Caenorhabditis elegans: one gene and its partner. The protein of the gene in region 1 interacts with the protein of each later gene in a pairwise test. Each region holds a gene or a part of one and is shown on either strand. Other genes may lie near its edges.

What was found.
Region 2: the proteins of mys-2 (region 1) and lim-7 interact in a two-hybrid assay, tested with the Caenorhabditis elegans proteins (one large-scale study listed by BioGRID).

The regions. Positions count from the first base shown.
Region 1 is NC_003279.8:14,116,894-14,121,777, forward strand, and holds the start of mys-2 (Histone acetyltransferase), read left to right. Parts: upstream 1-1,859; 5' UTR 1,860-1,864; coding exon 1,865-2,020; intron 2,021-2,143; coding exon 2,144-2,310; intron 2,311-3,053; coding exon 3,054-3,276; intron 3,277-4,354; coding exon 4,355-4,519; intron 4,520-4,884. Other genes in the region: TLC domain-containing protein fld-1, read left to right, coding at 46-134, 187-295, 390-510, 814-908, 1,234-1,299.
Region 2 is NC_003279.8:5,714,873-5,719,578, forward strand, and holds the start of lim-7 (LIM/homeobox protein lim-7), read left to right. Parts: upstream 1-1,701; 5' UTR 1,702-1,803; coding exon 1,804-1,939; intron 1,940-3,652; coding exon 3,653-3,700; intron 3,701-3,746; coding exon 3,747-3,811; intron 3,812-4,500; exon of another isoform or gene 4,501-4,650; intron 4,651-4,706. UniProt on the Caenorhabditis elegans protein: Probable DNA-binding transcriptional activator.

The DNA of each region.
Region 1 (4,884 bases):
AGGGTTTTCTGCTGAAATCCCCCAAAAAACCCAATTTTTTTGCAGTTTTTCAACCGATTCCTCGGCGTCGTTGTGTTCGGATTGCTCATGGAGCTCAACTCGATTTTCCTGCACTCGAGGAGCTTGTTGAACTTGTAATTTCAGCGATTTTTCCGTGATTTTCAGCCAAATCACCTATTTTTCCAGGTACGGAGTCGACAAGAAGAGCCCATCGTTCCGTATAATCGCTCTGCTCAATATGGTGACACTTTTCGCGTTCCGTCTCTGCGTTTCTGCGTATTTAGTCTATTTTGTGGTGAGATTTTGTGCATTTTTCAGTGGAAAAATCGAGTTTTCGATGATTTTTTCACTAAAAACACGGCAAAATTTGCACAATTTCCATGTTCCAGGTGGTCTCAATTCCGGATCTCGAGTGGTATGTATCAATTATTAACGGTCTAGTCATCGCCTCGCTCGCCTCCACAAATACAGTGCTCACTTACCGGCTTTTGGCAGCTGATGGGCTTTTGGGTGAGATTTTTAAGTTTTTAACTGAAAAATTCGGAATTTTCAGCCGAATTTTAGTCGAAACGCCGAACTTTTGAAGAAAAAACGATTTTTTCGAAGGAAAAAGCGAGAAAAAAGTTGGTTGAGGCTGTAGACTACAAACTACAGAACCAGTATAGCCTCAACCACGATGGTTGAGGCTCAGAGGACTTTGTGTAGTTTGTAGTCTTCGAGCCTCAACCATTGTTTTGGAGAAAAAATGCTTTAGAAAACTCCAATTTTCCTTTTTTTTTTCCTTTTTTTTTAAACAATTTTCGATATTTTCAGGCTCCCGACGTACACGAAGAACCCCCGCAGCTACCGCAGAAACACAAGTTGGTGACGTGGAAAGTGGTCCGCTTAGGACACAAGTTGAGGATGAGGTTCGAAATTTTGGATTTTCTCACCCCAAAATTCATCAGTTTTGCGAAATTTTAGTGAAAATTCGAGAAAAATTCGATGAAAATCGCGAAAATTTCAAGCGAAAACCAATTGGTTGAGGCTGAGCTGAATTTGTAGTTTGTAGTCTCTTAGCCTCACTCAAAGATGGTTGAGGCTCAAAGACTACAAACTACAAAAACATCGATTTCTAGGTCATTTTCACGTGATTTTCTCGAATTTTTCACTCATTTCCCGTTTAGATTTCTCGCAAATCGAGCATAATGACTACAAACTACAATTTAAGTCAATTTATTTGTTTTGTTGCAGGACCATCACACAATCGGAGTGCAAACGATTCATGGAACAACAGAAGACGCGACACAAACTGTTTGAACTCACCCCGCCGCTCCCCCAATTGTACCTATTTATCTGTTAAAAATTGAAATTCTTCGGTTTTTTGGTGATTTTTAAGCGAAAAATCGCGAAAATTTGATAAAAATTGGGTGAGGCTCGCCAAATTTTGTAGTTTGTAGTCTATAGCCTCACCCAACAGATTTTCCACCAAAAATCGACGTTTTCAGTACTTTTTCCTGCTTTTTTTGCCATTTTTTTTTCTGTATCTACCGTAATACTTGTTATTTATTGATTTTTCCCCCCATTTTTTAGCCCCAAATTTTTACCAAATCACTCATTCCATGTCTATCTTGGCCGCGCACCAAAGATGCAAACTGTCATTTTGATGATATCACGAAGTTCCACGACGCTTTTCTCTGCTTACAGTATTTATTTTTTTAAATTTTTTTTTTCACACGAAATTGACTCTAATTTATATTAAAAATACTCGATTTTTGATTTTTGAAAATTTAAATTTTTAAATTTTTAACTGTAATTTACGGTGTTTTATATCGAATTTTTCGACCCGATTTTCAGCCGATTTCAGCAAAAATTTCCAGACAAAATGAGCAAACGAGAGCCGAGGAAACGAGCACACGACTCAACAAATGAGGCAGCTGCTCCCGGCGGAAATGACAGTGAACCCCCGCAACAACAAATAATGCCAATAATTAACAAACGATATATGGTCGAGAAATTCATTATTAATACTGTGAAAAAGGTTCGGAAATCGCTTTTTTTTTTTTTGTGAAAAAATCGATTAAAAACCAGAAATTATTGTTGATTTTTCCTGAAAATTTTCGAGAAAAATCTCTTTTTTTTCCATTAAAAATCAAATTTCCAGGTGGTCGCCGTAATTATACACATTGATTTTCGAAAACCGCCGCAAGAAGTCCGCACGAATAACTATAAATCCATTGAGAATCACGAGCAAGGAGCGAAAGAGCTCATGTATTATGTGCATTATGAGGAGTTGGATCGGAGGAATGATGAATGGATTACGCTGGACAAGTTCGTGTGGAGAAAATTGCAGAAAAATGGGCAAAAATCTATGAAAATCGCGAAATTTCGAGCAAAAACGTATTTTGGTTGAGGCTGAGAAATGTTGTAGTTTGTAGTTTGTGAGCCTCACTCAATGATGGTTGAGGCTCGAAGACTACAAACTACAAAAATAGATAGCCTCAACCAAATGCATTTCGCTTAGAAATTCCTCATTTTTTGCAGATTTTGTTTTTCAAATTTTCACGATTTTTGTAGTTTGTAGTGGGAGAACCTCACCTAGAGGCACTACAAACTACAAAAATATTAGCCTCACCAAAAAATGTTGTAGTTTGTAGTTTTAGCAAAATCTGATAAGTTTTTTTGAAAATGTTTAAAAAAAGCTAAAATTTGCAATATTTTGAGCAAAAACGTATTTTGGTTGAGGCTAAAATATTGTAGTTTGTAGTCTCCGCGCCTCACTCAAAAATGGTTGAGGCGCTGGGACTACAAATTGCTAAAACTACAAACTACAACATTTTTTGGTGAGGCTAATATTTTTGTAGTTTGTAGTGCCTCTAGGTGAGGTTCTCCCACTACAAACTACAAAAATCGTGAAAATTTGAAAAACAAAATCTGAAACCAAATCCATTTCGCATCAAAATTCTCTCATTTTTCGCCGATTTTTCTCAAATTTTCACAATTTTTTGTATTTTGTAGTCACTTAGAGAGACTACAAACTACAAAATTCGAAAAAATTATCGATTTTCATTCAGAATTCTCGTAAACGAAGTGGTAGTCGAGCCGGTGATCAAAGTGCCCACAAAAGCGCCTGTCGAAGATCTACACAAGGAAATTGTCGTCGGACCGCCCGTCATAAAGCCATCTGGAGCCCTAACACGAAGTCAGCGGAGGACATTGGAAGAATATTCACATTTAAAAACGGATCTTAATGATTTGGACGCCACGACCGCCCGGCTAGAACGGGAACATGAAGAAGTACGGGATTTTCTGAAGAAAATTCGAAAAAAATCGAAAAAATTGGTTGAAAATCACAATTTTCTCAATTTCACTCCAAAAAGTGCCAAAATCTGGAAAATTTCATTAAAAAAGTACCCTTTTTTCACCCGAAAAACACGATTTTTTCTCCTTAAAAACTTGGTTGAGGCTAGGATTTTGTAGTTTGTAGTGTATAGCGTCAACCAACATTTTTTACTGTAAAAAAAGTGAATTTTTCAATGGAAAACCCACTTTTTTGAGCTTTTTAATCGAATTTTCAAATTTTTAAGTCAAAAAATCGAGATTTTAAGTCAATTTTTGCATTTGAATAGATTTTTTTCCCATAAAATCCATCCGAATTCCCCCAAAATTCTTTTTTTTTTTTGAAGAAATACGGGACTTTTGAGAGAAAAATCGAAAAAAATCGAAAAATTTGGTTGAAAATCACAATTTTCTCAATTTTCGCTCCAACATGGGCCAAAATCTGGCAAATTTCATTAAAAAACACCCTTTATTACCCGAAAAACACGATTTTTTCTCCTGAAAAACTTGGTTGAGGCTAGGATTTTGTAGTTTGTAGTGTATAGCCTCAACCAACATTTTTTAACTGTAAAAAGTGCATTTTTCAATGGCAAACCCACTTTTTAAAGCTTTTTATCAAGTTTTCAAATTTTTAAGCCAGAAAATCGAGATTTGAGTCACTTTTTTTGCATTTAAATCGATTTTTCCCATAAAATCCACCCGAATTCACCTAAATTCTTTTTTTTTCTGAAGAAATACGGAATTTTTGAGAGAAAATTCGAAAAAAGTCGGAAAATCTGCTCAAAAAAGTGTAAAATCCGCTTTTTTTAATAGAAAAATCAAATAAAAATTGGTTGAGGCTTGAAATTGTTGTAGTTTGTAGTCTATAGCCTCAACCAACATTTTTTCAATGTAAAACGTGAATTTTTCAATGGCAAACCCACTTTTTAAAGCTTTTTAATCAAGTTTTCAAATTTTTAAGCCAGAAAATCGAGATTTTAAGTCAATTTTTGCACTTTTATCAATTTTTCCCCCTAAAATCCTACTTTTTTTGCAGCGTACAAAAGTGAAGAACATACCACAAATAACGATAGGCGCTCACGAGATTCTCGCCTGGTACTATTCACCGTTTCCGCCTGACTGTGAAAATTTGGACATTTATATGTGTGAATATTGCCTACTCTACACACCTCATCACGAACGATTCAAGCAGCACATTGATGTGAGAAAATGCTTTTTTTTTGGCAGTTTTTCCCGTAAAAATAGCCAGAAAACCGGAAATTTGGCCCAAAAATACGAAAAATCGATCCATTTTGTAGTTTGTAGCCTTTTTTCCGCACAAATTTGGCCTAAAAAGCTCCAAAATAAGTTTTTTTTTTTCCCAAAAAAAATTCCGGCTCTGGCTCCGCCCACAAAATGGAAAAAATAATCCGAAAAAGGGCGTGGCTTAGGCTCCGCCCATAAAATGGTTATGTAGTTTGTAGTCGTTTTACTGAATAATTTTCTAAAAAACTCTAAAATCAGCATTTTTCTCGAAAAATCCCATGAAAAACTGCATTTTTGGCCTTAAAAACTGGGCGTGGTCAG
Region 2 (4,706 bases), 8.4 Mb from region 1:
TTTTCTCTTTTTTTTTTAGCGAAAATTGATTTCTAGCTTTTCTCGAAGTGTTCAAAAAACTGCAAAACTTACTTTCGTACAAAATGTAGAAATTTTCGAGATTAAAAAATTTAAATTACAAAATTTTGTATTTCGGTCTTTCTATTTCTTCGTGTTTTGGAAAAATATTTTTTTAAATGGAATACGATAAACTATGAAATATAACTTGTAAAGTTTGTTTTCTCTTACACCACAATAGTTGAAAAATGGCTGTAAATTTTTCACATTTCTCCCCGGTTCTAAAAATTTTCCAATATTCTGGATTAATCCAGCATCCATTTAATCATCTTATCTTTCAAATCCTTATCAATCGATGGAATCTACAGTATCCTCGAATACTTGTCCGTTATCACCTTCTCTCGCATGCATGTTCATCTTTTCATTCGTTATTTCACACCTTTTGAGGTATACAGGAAGTGGGGGAATCAGTTAAAACATACATATGTCCACGTGTCGGCTAATTTAAGAGTGCAACTCTATAGAAACTGCAAATTCACTTTTCGTACAATTTTTTTGACTAAAAGAATGAAGAGTTTGCAATACTAACGAAGAAGTGCAATACTATTAGGGACGCAAGACTAATTGGGACTTCAAGTCTATATTTCAATCGATATGAACTCTAAGAGAGACTCAAAAATAAAATAAAATAAAACATATTTCTAGTTTCTAGATAGTTTTCAATAAGGAAAATATGGCGTCCACCAGCCAAAGGAAGAATGAGGGTCAGGTTGAATCCGGATAAGAAGATATTTCCAGGGATAATCTTGTTGAATTCTCATGTTTTCTGATTTCAATTTTTTTTCTCAATTTTTTAAAATATTCATCAATGAACATAATACTTTAAACCTCTGAGAGAACCAGTCAGTTTCTGATTTAAATATCAGAAAAATGATTGTGTTAAAGATCGAAGCAAACATACCACATTTTTTCAGTATTGCAGCCATTTTTTGGAAAAGTTACATGAATAATTTATAGACTCTGAAGATGTTCTACACTTTGTGAGTTTATTGTCTTAAACTGTAGTACGCGGAGATATTAGTATGGAAGCTAAAGGAAACTAGAAAAACATTTGAAAATGTACGAGAAAATTTGACTAAAATATAGGATGGATTTTGAACTCTAAAATCTAGGGTTATGAAATTTAAACGTCCTAAGCGATTTGTAATTTAATTTTGAAACTTTAATTGTGAAACTAAAGTGAGGTCAAATTTCTCACATTACTTTCCTTAATTCTTAATTTTTTCAGGAGCAGACAATTTTGTTCAAAAATTTCGAAATTTTCTAAATGTTTAAATATAATTTTTTGCTCATTACTTCAATCTTGATGAGTAATTTCATAGAATATATTTTGCCAGTAACATTTAACTGTCTCAAAAATTTTTTTGGCATTTGAAATGTCATTTTTTAAACTTTTTCATGATCCAAATAGTTCACACAAAACTGCTTTAATCCAATTAATTACAAATAAAAGAAATATAGGTTACCATATCCACAAAATCAGGATGTTCACACTCTTATTCTATCACTTGGGTGTTCACATCCGGCTGGTTTTCTTCTCACTTCTTTCGTTCTCCTCACTTAGTAGGTGGAGTCTACCAACCAGTCGCTCGTCGTCCGCCCGCTCAATGACTCCGCCCACTTTCTTGTCTCTCCGTGGGTCCCAGGGCTCTCGGTTCTCTTTTCGTTTGTGACACTTCCAACTGTCCTATCTGTGTTTGTGTGTATCTAGTAATCAATCACAAACTTCTATATCTGTTCAACGGCATGAACATCTGTATGCGAAATGGTTATGAGCAATTCTCACTGACATCTCCAGGAACATCGGATCTCGAAATTGGTGGATCATTTTGGAAAGACGAACCGGATACCAAGTACTTGTGCCTTGATTCTCCTGTTGAACGTGAGTGTTTTTTTTTTAATTTGAAAATGTTAAGCGTGGGCCAAAATATTTCAAAGAATTTACATCCGGAAAAAATTTTTTTGTAAATTTTCTGAAAATCACAGCTTAAAAAATTCAAAACAAAAGTTAAGTTAGATTCATAAAATTTCCATTTGAAAAGACATCTAACAGATCTAAGAATACAACACCTTCTCTCAAACTCCACTTAATCTTGAAAAATAAATCTTAAAATGTCAAAATCCCTGCAATAACAAAATCGAAAGAAGGAGAGGGAGAAAATCTGGAAAAAAAGATTATTCGCACTTCTAAGCCTTAAATATCCGTCTATTTTCCCCTGAATTTTGCAACTTTTTTATCTGAAGCTCTGGTGCTCTTCCGATTCTTTTCCCATACTACTTATAGGGATGAGCCAATGAATAAATGAGCAAAGTTCCGAAAGGTGTCTGAACTTAATGGGCTCACTTCCAAAAAATTTTGAAGTCATATAACATTACTAAATTTCTTGGTAGAAAAAACCCATTTGAGCTACACATTTTTCCATGACACCTTGCTTATTCACCAGTTTGGCAAACAAAAGAATCGGGGGGTCTCACACAAAAATATATTTTGTTGATTAAACGATATGATGGGGGTGGGGAACAAATGGGAGGCTCCATCAAAAAGCTCTTAGTTCAATCAAGTTCTGAAAGTTTAAAAGAAAACAAAAATCGCTATTTCTTTCATTCCATTTGTCCCCCTCCTCTTTTACTTTTTTCTTTTCCACCTTCTTCTTGTTGTCTTAAAAACGCATAACTTCATCTGGTCCTTCGATGAAGATCTAAGCTATAATCGCCTTATGCACATCACATGTACATATCCGGTTTGAAGATTTCAACAACCCAACCAGATTTTCTCGATTTTCTTGGCCTCGAAAACTTAACCTAGAAAGTTTTCAAATAAATATATGATATTAATAAAAATTAACTTTTCACAGTTTTGTATTCCGAAAGTTTTTAAAACCTAATTTTCTTCAAAAAAAGTTTTTCTCTAGGTCAATTTTCAATTCTAATTTCAAATCGCAACACTCTCCTCCCAAATAAGTAGTTATTTGCCGCCGCTCCGATTATGATTACTGTAGTGGTGGGGTGTTTATAATTGCTTATATTAAGTAAACTTTCCTTCTTTTTTTGGGATTGTTACTTCTTGTTTGTCAACGGCCAGTTTACTTCCTAAAATAAGATGTCAAATGTTGAACAAGGGGATTATCAATAGTTTGAAATGACTACCTTTAGTTGTTATAGTTTTAAAATTAGAACATTTTAATATGTTATTTTTTAAACAGTAGGAAGCTGTCGACTTTAAATTCTTCCGAATAAAAACGGAGCTCAATAAAATTAATGACGTGGCAAAACAGTGCTGACAGAAGAGGGCAAAAATAAAATAAAAAACGTTTTGGCAGCTACTAACATCCCCAAACACCCCACAAATGAGCTATTTTATGAGTTTTGTTAGGCTCTCCCTGCCTTTCTTCACTTTTTTCTTGAAGCCATGAACCCCTTCATGACACCTAACTGGGTATCATTATCCATTTGTGCGCGTGGCCCTCCCCTCTTTCTATTACTTTTCCCTAAATAAAGCTTGAGCTCCCCTCCTCTCACAAACCCTGTAATCTTCAAATCAAAGTCGACGGGTAATTTGGGTTAGAGTAAAGTTAATCGAGCTTTCATTTTTCAGAACGTCAGCACCAACCACCGATGGCAGTTTGTGCCGGCTGTCGATTGGGTAAGCTCTTTCGGGGACTAAATTCCAAAAAATTATTTATTTTCAGAAATATCAGATCGGTACTTCCTCAGGGTCAATCCCAATCTGGAATTTCACGCTCAATGTCTAAAAGTGAGTTTTTGAACATTTTTATAACTGAAAAATGGTTTATAAGTATCTCGTCTCACTTTGAAGGATTTTATCTCAGTTTGTTTTGAATATATCAAAAATAATAAAAATACACAACCTTTTCGATAGAACAAACAACAACCGAGATACTAATTGAGTGCAGTGTAGTCTCATGGTTTTTTTTCTAAACAACAATTTCGAAAATTACACGGGGGTGGATTTTCACAAGAAAACCTAATTCATTCCAAATGATCTCATTCAAAAATGTATTGCACAATGAGCCCCTCCAACTGTCTTAATACCTTAAAGCTACAAAAGTCCAGTAAAGAGAGAATTTACACGCATGACTTGACACATTGTTTGTTCTTTTATTCAACATTTTGATGTATGTTTCTATATGTATGTAGGATTTCCATTTTGCATATTATTCAGAATTCCAACCTTTTCCCCTTTTCTCTTTTCTGCTCCTTTTGAATTATTCACCAATTTGATACCTTTATTCCGGGTCATTGTACTTTTTGCTCTTGCCCCACGACTTTTAAGCAAAGGACAAAAAGTGAATATTATACAAAAAAGGGAAGGGGGAGGAGAAAGGGCAATGATGATGAAATGAAATGAGACAAAGACGGAAAAAAAGAAAAGAAAAAAATCAAAACGTGTTGACCAGGAAGCATAAAAAGGGGGAGAAGCACGGAAGAGACGGATCAAATTACTGCGCAAATTCGCGCATTTTGTTGATTTTTTGAGTGTGAAGATTGGTGTATACAACTCACTGGGACAGAGGGACCCTTGCGTGACCAGTCAAGGTGGCAACCATCTGTCGTGTTGGAATAGGCGATGAATACCTAAACAGTAGTAGAATAGATCACGCTATTCAGTTAACTATTTACCTGTTTAC